2 linked regions of the Stegostoma tigrinum genome follow. The protein of the gene in region 1 interacts with the protein of each later gene in a pairwise test. Links are inferred from orthologs where the notes say so. Each region holds a gene or a part of one and is shown on either strand. Other genes may lie near its edges. The genes, in order: polr2l and rpap1.

Region 1 (6,481 bases):
TCTTCTCCCCATGTCAGATTGACTAATTACTCAATTTGTTACATCACTGGCGATTCATTAGCACAATATATTCATGAGTCCGTTACTGAATAGGTAATGAAAACAGTTTAACAGTCACTCAATTGGGTAAAATATTACTGACAGAAAAGTCAGGCTATCAAAGCTTTTTCTCCTTAAACGCACAAGGACAGACAACCTCAGGGATCAATTTACCCAGAAGAATATACCGAATGATTGGCCAAGATGTTGCTGCAGAAAATTCACCAAGGAACAGTTGGCCCTTAAGCTTCTAATTAAGAAAGGTGCTAATGTCTGGGCATGCTTAACCACTAATATTTAATGTCAGACAGAATCTAAACAGTAAGTGATGTAATGTTGCATGTTGTTCTGTACAGAGGATCTTCAAGATAACAGCATTGCTTTAGTGATACTTGGGAAGGAAAGTTGGACAATCGGAAACACCTTGAAACAATGTATATTGGTGTCTAAAGTTCCTTGCAGCTTGAAGACATGTTGCACACAACTCACTTTCCAAGACAGTGGATCGAGGATTCTCAATCCAGGCACCATTAAGAATTCAAACTAGAGCAGTACTTCCCAAACTGTTGCCTCCCACCAGGACCCTGTAATTGAGACCTGAAAACAAATGACCCTTTGAGAGCTGCAAAAGTGGAGAGGAGCCTCAGAGCAATAGCACAGCTTTTACAATTCAGAACTCCACAGCAGCCACCGTTGCCTCCGAGTTTGTTATTCCATTCAGGGCCCTGACCTCCATTGTGGGAATCCCTGACTTAGATTCCATGAAGGGAAAAGCAGACTAATTATTTATCATAAACAGATGTAGGGTAGAGGACACAGCTCAAAGTAAACAACTGGTAATAGTAATGGGCAAGTGACCTCCTGCTGAAAACCACAAAGTTATTTTTACAGTCCTGTAACCAGCACAACAAAAGGAAAGAATCCAGCTCAAAGGACCCCTCCTGTCTTCTACACTAAGATTTTTAAATTTTTTCCCCCACCCAGTATCTGATTAAGCCTGTTAGAGATCTAATTTTTCTTCCAATTCTGATTAAAGATACTATCTCTCTCCATGCTTGCTGCCATTACCTGCTGAGTATTTCCAGCAGTCTCTTTTCTCCTTTGACTGTCCTGTCTTTTTTTCCCTTCTTTTAAAAAGCTTCGCAGCAGTTCTCTTTCAAATTTAAGAGCATTCTCTCTCAACAATCCTAATCAATGACCTTTCATGAAGTGTAAACAGTGCTCAGAGTTAAATTCATTTTATTTACAAGACAGACAAAATGAAAACTCTTTTCTTCCAATCCCAAAAATATAGACTTAAAAAAAACTATTCAGTTCCACGTTTGTAGAGTCGTGCCATCAAACCAGAAGAGTTTGAGCAATTCTTTTGCTTGCCACAATCCAGAAACTAAGGGCACATCATTTCTCCAGAGGTGCGTAGTTCAAGAGTTTTTCAATCAGGTCTACGTGGGACAGCAGCATTCGTCTGCAGCAGTAACGTTTCAGGCCCAATGCATCCAGCGCATCACTGGAAACAGATAACCCACATTTAGTAACACGTTAACATCATATTGCTAGCTCTATACATCACTAAGGACTAAAATTAGGGGGACAGGTAGGTGGCTAGTTTTTGGTCTTCAGTAGAGAAGGTTAAGCAATGATATAGCACAAGCATTTTAGAAACAATCAAAGCAGATTGACAGGATGGATAGAGCAAGTTCAGAACTAGGACAAACCTCAAAACTGTAAAGAACAGGACACTATCATTTCACTCCTTGATCACAGCTGATTAACGACACACTGCCTGGAGAGGTGTGTGTGGGGGGGGAACGACTATAATGTTCTGGGAGGTGGTTAGGTGATCACTTAGGCACCATGCTGTGTGGACAGCGTTGTGAGGCTAGGAAGGTGGGATGGGTGTAGATGGGAGATCAATGGCCAACATGGACTCGGTAGGTCTCTCTCTGTGCTGTGATATCAACAAAGAACATTACATGCAGCGAATCAAATTGGCTGAAGACTGGTATCTGAGATGCCAAAGACCACTGGAGGCCAAGATGTGCCATCCACTCAGCATTTCTGACTGAAGATGGTTGCAAATGCTTCAGCCTTATCTTCTGCGCTGGTGCTGGGAATAATGGTGGAGCCCCCTCTTCAAGGGCGACGTTGATTATCTACCACCATTCATGACTTGATACAGGAAGACTGTACAGTTTAGATCTGATTCCGCTGGTTTTGAATCACTTAGCTTTGTCTATCTCTTGCTGCTTATGCCTCTTGATTTGTAAATAGTCCTGTTTCATAGCTTCACCGGGTTGACAGCTCACTTTTAGGATAACGTGGAAATGCTCTGACACACCTTACTGCACTCTGCATTGACCTAAGGTTGATCCCCTGCTTGGTGTTACTAAGAGTTGGGGATATATTGGGCCATGAGGTTGCAGACCTGGCAGGTAGAGGCACTGTAATATTTAAATATTTAGATTTGCACTTGCGATGCCAAAGCATACATGGCTATGGCCAAATGTAGAAAAACAGGATTAGAATAATTAGGTAACAAAGTGTGGAGCTGGATGAACACCGTAGGCCAAACAGCATCTTAGGAGCTCAAGAGCTGACGTTCCGAGCCTACTTGTTGGGCCAAAAAGCCTTTCTCTGTGCTGTATTATGACTATGCTTCCATAGAGGGACTTTTGCCCCTAATCCTTATTTGGGGACTTGCATGAACCACAGTTTAAAATTCGTAACTGATTGAACAAACTGTTTTTTAAACACATTCCACCACCCTACTGTGGGTGTATAAAATGTCTCTTCCCAATTTATCTCATGATCTTATTGAATTACAGAACAGACTGTAAGTCTCAGGAGCAGAACAAGGCCATGTAGCCCATCAAGTCTGCTCCACTATTCAATGAGATCATGGTTGATCTGATAACTCAACTCCATTTTCCTGCTGTTTCCCTACAATCCTTCATTCCTTTACTGATTAAAAATCTGTGTCTCAAACTTGAGCAAGAGAATCTGTGGGAAAGAATTCCAGATTCACTACCCTCATAAGAGATTCCTCAACTCTGGTGTAACTGAGCAATTCCTTAGTCTGTCATTATACCCTCTAGTCCTAGACTCTCCAAGATGGAGAAACAACTTCTTAGCATCCAACCCGTCATGCCAACACCACGTCCCCACCTTCCAATAACTTTTTGCTTTAATGAGGCCACCCAGCCAATCTTCTGAGTCCAGTGTTCTGGCTGAGCCAACTCAACATCTCAAGAAAATCCCTCCACAAGCAGGATCAGCCTCAAGAGCCTTCTCTGGATCACCTGCAATGGCAACGTGTCTTTCTGTTGATAAGGGTTCTAAATCAGTTCACAGCATTCCAAACATCTGGCTCAAGGGTCAATACTCCCTACTTTGACTCCTAATTCATACAGATGTACCACTTGGCCATATCTTGGCTTTTCATAAATTCGACCAAGGCTGATACTAAGGTGGAGAACTGGATGAACACAGCAGGCCAAGCAGCATCGGAGGAACAGGAAGGGTACCGTTTCGGGTCACGAAGAAGGGCTCAGACCCGAAAGGTCAGCTTCCCTGCTCCTCTGATGCTGGTTGGCCTGCTGTGTTCACCCAGCTCCAGGCCGGTGTTATCTCACTGTCTCCAGGATCTGCAGTTTCTACTATCTCTGAGGCTGACACTGTTGGCGCTCTGTCCAAGTTTGTTTTATATTCACCCGCGGGACCTGAGTGTCACTGGCTTGACCAGCATTAGTTGCCCAGAGAGGGGGGAGCCCAGTCACCCACACTGCTGTGGGTCTGGAGTCACATGTAGACCAGGCCATGGTGTGGGTGGCAGATTCCCCCCCCCCCCCCCAAAGGGTATTAGCGAACCAGGTGGGGTTTTCTCACAAACTGGCAAGGGGTTCATCACCAGACTCTTCACTCCAGGTTCAAACCTGTTTCCCCGGAACATTAACCCGGGGCTTTGCACTCATCGTGGCACCGGGCCTCCCCGTTGTCCCAGTGAGTCCGGCCAGAGTCTGGATGGAAGGTGCGGGCGCTGCCCGAGGCCGGTGTTGTTGTTGTTGTTGTTAGGCCCCAGGCCCCAGGCCTCTCCCCGCCCACCCCGCCCCCGGCTGTTACTCACCCCTCCGTGTACTCGGCCTGCAGCAGGCCCAGGTAAGCCTCCCACTTGTTGCCGACCACCTTGCCGCAGGTGAAGCAGCGGACCGGGATGATCATGGCGCCGTCTCCGAGAATGAGTCGTGGGGACGGAAACTCCGCTTCTGGAAACTTCTCCCAGCGTCAGCCCACTGCGCATGTGCTGGGGGGGGGGGGAGAAAATGATGTCCCGCGGGCAGATTGCGCATGCGTGCCGTACTGGGCCTGCGGTGAGGAATTGAGAGCAGCGGGGGGCGCTGTTTCTCTCAATTTCACCTCCAAAGTGGGAGGAGGGGCATGAGGTGGGTCTCAGAGACTACAGGGTCAAGACTTGTTACCCATTTCCTAATTTCAACCTTTACAAGGTGTGGGTGGGTTGCTGTCTAACCAGAGCAATGAAACAGCACAGCAGGGGCCATTCAGTCCATCCTGCCTGTGCTGACCCAAATGCCTTTGCAATCCCACCTTCCTGCACACAACCCATAGTTTTGCAGATTACAGCACTTCAGGCGCAGATCGGGGACTTTCGAAAAGAGTTTAGAGCCGTTGCCTCCATCACCAACTCACACAGCAAATTCTAGACACACATCATCGTCTGCATAAGAGATAATAGGAACTGCAGAGGCTGGAGAATCCGATATAACAAGGTGTAGAGCTGGCAGGCCAAGCAGCATCTTCGGAGCAGGAAAGCTGACATTTCAGGCCTAGACCCTTCATCAGAAATGGGGGCGAGGAAGAGGGTTCTGAAATAAATAGGGAGAGAGGGGGAGATGGATCAAATATGGATAGAGGAGAAGATAGGTGAAGAGGAGACAGACAGGTTAAAGAGGCGGGGGTGGAGCCATGAAAGGTGAGTGTAGGTGGGGGAGGTAGGGAGGGGATAGGTCAGTCCGGGGAGGACGGACAGGTCAAGGGGGCAGGATGAGGTTAGTAGGTAGGAGATGGGGGTGGGGCTTGAGGTGGGAGGTGGGGATAGGTGGGAGGAAGGGCAGGTTAGGGAGACAGGGATGAGTTGGGCTGGTTTTGGGATGCAGTGGGGGGACGGGAGATTTTTAAGCTTGTAAAATCCACATTGATACCATTGGGATGCAGGGTTCCCAAGCGGAATATGAGTTGCTGTTCCTGCAACCTTCGGGTGGCATCATTGTGGCACTGCAGGAGGCCCAGGATGGACATGTCATCTGCGGAATGGGAGGGGGAGTTGAGTGGTTCGTGACTGGGAGGTGCAATTGTTTATTGCAAACTGAGCATAGGTGTTCTGCAAAGCGATCCCCAAGCCTCCACCTGGTTTCCCCGATGTAGAGGAGGCCACAATGCGAACAGCAGTATACCTCATTTGCAGATGTGCAGGTGAACATCTGCTTGATGTGAAAAGTCATCTTGGGGCCTAGGATGTGGGTGAGGGAGCAGGTGTAGCACTTCCTGCGGTTGCAGGGGAAGGTGCCGGGTGTGGTGGGGCTGGAGGGGAGAGTGGAGCGGATAATGGAGTCACGGACAGAGTGGTCTCTCTGGAAAGCAGACAAGGGTGGGGAGGGAAAAATGTCTATAGTGGTGGGGTCGGATTGCAGATGGCAGAAGTGTTGGAGGATGATGCGTTGGATCCAGAGGTTGGTGGGGTGGTACGTGAGGACGAGCGGGATTCTGTTGTTATTGTGGGGATGGGGTCTGAGGGATGAGTTGCAAGAAATATGGGAGACACAGTCGAGGGCGTTCTTGACCACTGCAGAGGGGAGCTTTTGGTCCTTGAAAAATGAGGACATCTGAGATGTACGGGAGTGGAATGCCTCATCCTGGGAGCAGATTTGAGGGAGGCAAAGGAATTGGGAATAGGGGATGGCATTTTTGCAGAAGTTGGGTGGGAGGAGGTGTATTCTAGGTAGCTGTGGGAGTTGGTGGGCTTGAAATGGATATCAGTTTCTAGGTGGTTGCCCGAGATGGAGGCAGAGAGATCCCGGAAGGTGAGGGAGGTGTTAGAGATAGTCCAGGAGAACTTAAGGTTGGGGTGGAAGGTGTTGGTGACGTGGATGAACTGTTCGAGCTCCTCTTGGGAGCAAGAGGCGACGCTGATACAGTCATCAAAGTAACAGAGGAAGAGGTGGGGTTTGGGCCAGTGTAGGTACGGAAGTGGATTATTCCACATAACCTACAAAGAGGCAGGCATAGCTTCGGCCCATGCAGGTACCCATGGCTACCCCCTTTGTCTGTAGGAAGTGGGAAGAATTGAAAAAGGAGTTGTTGAGGGTGAGGACAGGTTCGTCTAAGCAGATGAGGGTGTCATTGGAGGGTGACTGGTCGGGCCTGCAGG
Region 2 (6,481 bases), on another chromosome or scaffold:
CAAATATTTCTGATATAAGCAAGTAAAAGGTAGAGCCGTGGTTGGACGTTGAGTGATGTGTCTTCCAGCCATCATGAATGCCTAGAACTTTAAAATTGTTTTTCAACTCTGAGAGGATGTTCACAGGGTTTTTTCTTTAGCTAGTAACAAAAGTGTGGCCATGGGAAACCGCCGCACCATGACTTTCAGAAAAAAAATGCTTTAAATCAGAAAACCGTTCAACTATTCAGATTGTTGGGTCGTTAGTTAGCCATTGTTGATAGATGGGCTGAATGGCCTCTTTCTGAAACATAAGAATTTAGTTATTCAGTTGTGTCTTCCTGGTTAAGGAAGCATGAGGAAAAACATTTCGGTTATATTGTGCTTATATTGGAAATAATGAACGTTACAGTAAAGTTTATCGCAAAATCCGAAAAAATTGAAATAGTATTAAGGGATTTTATAGTATGGTGTTAATATAGTGGGATGACAGGCCCAGGTTAATACTCTGGGACATGAGTTGAAATCTCATCAATGAGGTGAAGTGACAGTCTAGTGGTAGTGTTGCTGGTCTGTTAATCCAGTGGCCCAGCTCAGGACCTGGGTTCATGGTAGATGGTGGAACTTGAATTCAATAAAAATCTGGAATTAAGAGTTCAGTGAAGACCATTAAACGACTGCCGATTGACGGAAAAACCTATCTGATTCACTGGTGTCCTTCAGGCAAGGAAACTGGCCTGGTCTACATTCAAATCCCACAGCAATATAGTTGACTCTTAACTGCCCTCTGGGCAATTAGGGATGGGCATAAATGCTAGCCTAGCCAAAGATGCCCTCATCCTGTGAATGAATAAAGTGCAGTTTGTGGATCTTAAATTTAATTAATAATTGAAAATTGAAAACTCACCTCAGTTCTGAGACTATGGAGCTATTATGTTGTAAAAGCCTACATAGTTCACTAATGCCCTCTGGGAAAGGAAATTTGTTGTCCTGTCCCAGTCTGTGACTTCAGATCCACAACAATATGGTTGCCTCTTTCTGAACTGCTCTTAACTGTTTTCTGAAATGACTTTGCTAGCCAGTCAGTGGAAGGGCAATCAGGGGATGGGCAACAAATGCTAGTGATGCCCACATCCCATGAAGGCACAAAGAAGCATAAACATGGTCAGTAAAATTGTTACTGGTGAACTTGGGCAGAAAACCGAGGAAAATGCCTCACCTATAGGTTTATGATAACAAAGTGTGAAGCTGGATGAACACAGCAGGCCAAGCAGCATCTCAGGAGCACAAAAGCTGATGTTTCGGTCCTAGACCCTTCATCAGAGAGGGGGTTGGGGAGAGGGTTCTGGAATAAATAGGGAGAGAGGGGAGGCAGACGGAAGATGGAGAGAAAAGATAACCTCATCCTGCCTCCTTGACCTGTCCGTCTTCCCTGGACTGATCTATCCCCTCCCTACCTCCCCACCTATACTCTCCTCTCCACCTATCTCTTTTCTCTCCATCTTCTGTCCGCCTCCCCCCTCCTTATTTATTCCAGAACCCTCTCCCCATCCCCCTGTCTGATGAAGGGTCTAGGCCCGAAACGTCAGCTTTTGTGCTCCTGAGATGCTGCTTGGCCTGCTGTGTTCATCCAGCTTCACTTTGTTATCTTGGATCCTCCAGCATCTGCAGTTCCCATTATCTCTGATCACCTATACGTTTCCCTGTCACGATTTCCAGGCAGGCAAAAATACCACGCACACCTTGCAAATTAAGCAGGAGTTACTTTGGAAAACGTTGTCAGCGAATGATCTCATTGTGATGGAAACAACTGACTGAGCTGAGCTCCTTCTCCTGTGGGTTGAGGGGCTCCCATGGGACAACCCCTTCCGAGATTTCCAAAGAAAAATAATGTCGCCCTTTTTCGCGACCGCTAGACGTCCCAAAGCTGCTTTACTGCCGTCGAAGTACACTTGAAGTGCAGTCATCGAGGAGGCTTGCCAAGGAAGAGACAATTGAGAATAGATCCTCGAATATCTGGTGTGTACTGTTCATAGCTTAAAGTGCGGAATTGAGAATTGCCACTCCAAACCTTTCACTTTCTTCGTGCTTCGACAAATAGCCTCTTGCTGTTGAGGTTATTTCTGTTTTGGTGGGGTGGGGAGGGGGGTTCTCTATTTTGCATTATAGGAATTGAAGGGAATCCCCCTCCCATACCCATTCCCTGTGTTCAACTTGGCGGGTGAGAGATGTTCCAATTGTTTGCATCCGAGCGACCTAGTGGTGGACGGAAGTCGTGGGGACGGATTTTCCGTTGCACAGTTGCGAATAAGCTCTATCCGCGGTAATGAGCGGAAGCCGAGCCGGGGCCGGGTTATGCGTGTGACGCCAAGCGGGGCGGAAGTGGCGCTTGGCGTGGGTTCCAGGTGGAGGTTTGGAGCGAAACAGTAAGAGTTTGGGAGAGGGAGAGAGGGCGAGAAGTAGAGAAGAAGAAGGAGAGAGAGTGAAAGAAAGAAAAGGGGGGGGGGGAGAGGAGAAGTAGAGGGAGGGAAAGAAGAAGAGGAGGAGGAGGAAAGAAGGGATGGGGAGAGAAATGATGAACGATTGGAGATATATGGGGTAGGGGGTGCGGAGATACCAGGTGAGGGAAGTGAGAGGCAGAGATGTGCAAATAGAACAATGTGTGCCGATTATAAGAGGTTCCGCTCTGATGAAGAGTCCGAAACGTCAGCTTTTGTGCTCCTGAGATGCTGCTTGGCCTGCTGTGTTCATCCAGCCTCACATTTTATTATGCAGGTTTAATCTAAACTGTAAGGATGCCAGTGACAGCCTTAAATCTGGAAGGGTGATAGATTGGGCCATGCCTACTCTGTGTTCAGCATTTTCTCATGTTTCTCTAGAACTTCACTCTGACATCGCCATCTCTGCCGCATTCATTGTAGAGGAGAACTGTGTGTGCTGAGAGAGTGCACGATTTGCTGGCCTGTTTTCTCTTGGCCAGCTGAGTTTTGTGTTTTTGCCATTTCGGCAGCCATCCCCACCAGGGGACACGGCTGCTTGTGATTACCTCCAAATTGTCAGTGTCTGCCACCTCACTTGCAAGGTATCCTTCTTGCAGAAGTATGGACTCTCAGGAAGTTGTGACCCAGTGGCCAGTTCACTGTATAGAAGGCCTCTGGGTATAAGGCCACGAGTCATCCAATGAGTACGGCTGAGTCAGTGCAGACATCGTTGCCTTAGCAATGAGTGTATGCTTGAGGAGTTAGGACATTCCAGAACTTGAGAGTTAGTGACTTTATCCTGCCAAAAGATACGCTATATACATATGAGACAGCGAAGGTGGAAACTGTCCAGCCTTTGTTCTGCTTAGCATGCATTGTCTAGGTCTGATAAATAGAGAGGAATGTACTGAGGATGCAGGTTTATTAGGTTTGCAGTTTGATGTTCTCAGAATGCTATACTACACTGTCTCACTGAGATCATACAGAGCAGCTGTGTGATGTGTGTGTTGATTTCAGCACTTGGTGACAGATTGGTGGTTGTGGAACCTTGATACATAAAGGTTTAGTGTTACACTATCAAGTGCAGTGTAGCAATGTCTTGGAAAGTGACAGTAGCCTTTCTGATGCTGATGGTCTAACCAAGTCCTTTCCAGGCGTGAGAGCATCTGCACGTTTGCTGCTGAGGATGTTTCTCGATGTGAAATTATTCTGCAGCATCGTTGGTGTGGAGCAACTCTCTGCTGATGATTTGGTGCACTTTAGTCTTGGATCTTGGGTAAGGCAGGTTGAACAGATCTCTGTCAAATCTGGTATATAAGTAGACCCCTCTGTAAATTACCTGGCGACATATAACAGCAGCAAAGAGGAGAATATGCCAAATGTGTGAGTGCCAAAACACAGTCCTATTTCTTGAAGGTTTCTGACCTTGACCTTTTCTATCACGCTGTCATGGAAACAGGAGATCACGTTTATCAGTCGCGTTGGGTACCCAGTGTTCATCAACAGCCTAAGTTGACTGTCTTTACTCAGGTAGTTTAATGGCTTTTAAGAGCTTACCGTGGAAATGCACACCAGTCTCCTCTGTTCCTGACATCTCATCTTGCAACTCTGTAGCGGAGAGAATGAGCTAATTCTGTATTTTCTAGTTCTGATGCCAACCTGGGATTTGGGATGGATATGATCTGCAGTCTGACAACGGCAACACAAACAAATACTTCACCTGTGATGCACGTTAAAGGAGGTACTGGGATCATTGTTACGATCACTGTGGTTGTCTTTGTTCTCCTACAGAGTCACAGTTGGAGCATGCAAATTCCTGAGTGCTGCTCCCTTCCACCAGCAGAGGTAGGGAAGTTTGTGTAGATGCTGCAGGAGTGCTGGTTTCTCCTGCTCGATGAGTTCGGACGGTAAGGATCGGCATCAGCACCTTGACCTATGCCAGTGAGTCACTAACGTCGCTAATTTCCTCAACTGTGGGGTCAATATCCAGCTTCAATGGCCGGAGCACCCATTCTTTTATGTCAGTCTGGGCTTATTTCTTGTAACGGCTCTGTCATTTTAATGCACTGCAGTGAAACTGGAGTGTGCTTTCTGGGACACGTTCTGAGGCAAAATCTATGTAGGCCCTAGGCTGCCCCAAAAGCCAAGGTACGCTTCTTGATCTCCTTAGTTTGTTTAAAGTCAATGCAAAACACCCTGCTTGGTGTTGGCTAATTGCAACAGTTGCCAGAAGGTAGCATATCCAGATGTCAATTCGCCTATGGGTTTCACTCCAGTGTTTTGTCTGCGTTTGCTTCCTCAGCATCAGCTCTCCAAAATATCCATATACAGTGGACTTACACTTCCATAGCTTGGAGTTTGAATCATGAATTCCTGGGCCTGTCCACTTGCAAACCTGCACATTACATCTGGGAATCAAACCTCCATCGGGGTTCCCTGAAGATGCAGCTTGGGGCTGCGAGAGACCCAGTTTCACCAGAAGGAGACACTAGTTAATGGGAGAGGCTGTGTTACTGATAAGAAATGGTTTACACGTTTGGTTGGCCTTTCACGTTACAACTGGGTAGCAGTATAGCCTGAAAATGAGAAGCAAATAAGTATGCGTGAGCTGAAAGATGTTAAGTTTCTTTATCCACATACTAGACTACATGTGGATGCATTGGAATCATCTGTGGGAGAAACACTGACAAAATATGAAGCAGGCACTTGGAGACTGGACCAAAGAACATTGCGAATGTGTGATGTACGGCCAGGAGCAGGACTGAGAGCTGAAACAGGAGAGGAAACAGACAAGCATTGATGTGTATTGCTCCCTCTAGTTGTTCCTTTTCCCTCCTTATAATTGCCTACTTGACATTTATTGCCCCACTTTCAGTCGTGCTTATCACTTTTTCATGTCAAAATGAGTTTATCCCTACATGAATATAACAGAATGACTGATTTGGGATAGGTGAGATCAATGTGAGGGTTTTCTCTATGAATTGGTCTCCTGCTTCTCTCTATATCCTTAATTGAATATATACGTTTGCTCTTGATGCAGATTTACCATGTTAGACTTTTAAATTGATCCCACTGGCCAGGCAGCTACCCATCCCTACCTTTCCAGTGGGCTTTCAATCTCCACAGTAGAAAATTGACTCCCGTTCAGTTCAGGGCTCAGCATAGGCTGGAAGACTTGGACATGGATTAGGGCTGAATGCTGGACTCTGGAGTGTGTGTGTGTCAGTGAGGGACCACTCTCCTTTTGATGAGCGGTTTATCAGATGTCAATTCCATTGTGGCCTATGAGCAGTTGTGACATTAGTGGAATGAACCATTGGTTCCAAAGCGCAGGGATTTCTTAACAAAGTGGTCGTTCCCAGATTACCTTATTTTATGCTTAAAGATTGCAGGGTGATGATCAGAAGGAAGAACCTCCAATCTTCTATATCAGTTTACAACAGTCAGGAAGAAGGTGTAAGTTGTGGTTGTTTGGTAGCTGTCTTGATTCAAAATGGAAAAGATCACAATGCAGAGGTTGCATTGACACCGTACTGTGGAACTGATGAAGTGCTATATTGTTGGAGATATCATTCTTTGGATCAGATGTTAAGCCATGGTTCTGTCTGGCCCCTCACACCATCCTATTTCAAAGGAGAGCAGGAAAATACCTGGCTTTGTAGTAATAATTGTGCCTCACAGATTAGAGGGTGTTGGTTCTGATCTAGGGTCCCTGCTGAGCTAGTTGATTTAAGCATTGTTTTGTGGCCTTCGCATCCGAGGTGACGAAGGGCGAGATGGTAAATGAGCCAAACTTTGTTCCCACTTGCTTTATTGCAGTCAAAGCTGCACTCCTTAATGGTTTGGGTGGACAGCAGATTGAGTCGAGAGAGGGCTGGACAATGGAAGCTCATGCAGTTGAAAGACCTATTGCTGCTTGTTGCCTGGGTTGATGTGTAAGTCGTGGTTAGCAGCCTTGGTCTGCTATTGCCAATGAAAGGCACCTTAGTAGTTGCAAATCAGAAAGTGTTAATCACCGTCCT

Evidence for each region.
Region 2: the proteins of polr2l (region 1) and rpap1 interact in binary tests that used the Homo sapiens proteins (3 or more experiments, as listed by UniProt). The link is inferred for Stegostoma tigrinum from reciprocal best matches to the Homo sapiens genes POLR2L and RPAP1.

The regions. Positions count from the first base shown.
Region 1 is NC_081391.1:22,281,448-22,287,928, reverse strand, and holds polr2l (DNA-directed RNA polymerases I, II, and III subunit RPABC5), read right to left. Parts: upstream 4,338-6,481; 5' UTR 4,258-4,337; coding exon 4,163-4,257; intron 1,547-4,162; coding exon 1,438-1,546; 3' UTR 1,262-1,437; downstream 1-1,261. UniProt on the Homo sapiens protein: DNA-dependent RNA polymerase catalyzes the transcription of DNA into RNA using the four ribonucleoside triphosphates as substrates.
Region 2 is NC_081363.1:79,315,026-79,321,506, reverse strand, and holds the start of rpap1 (RNA polymerase II-associated protein 1), read left to right. Parts: upstream 1-2,337; 5' UTR 2,338-2,405; intron 2,406-3,588; exon of another isoform or gene 3,589-4,200; intron 4,201-6,481. UniProt on the Homo sapiens protein: Forms an interface between the RNA polymerase II enzyme and chaperone/scaffolding protein, suggesting that it is required to connect RNA polymerase II to regulators of protein complex formation.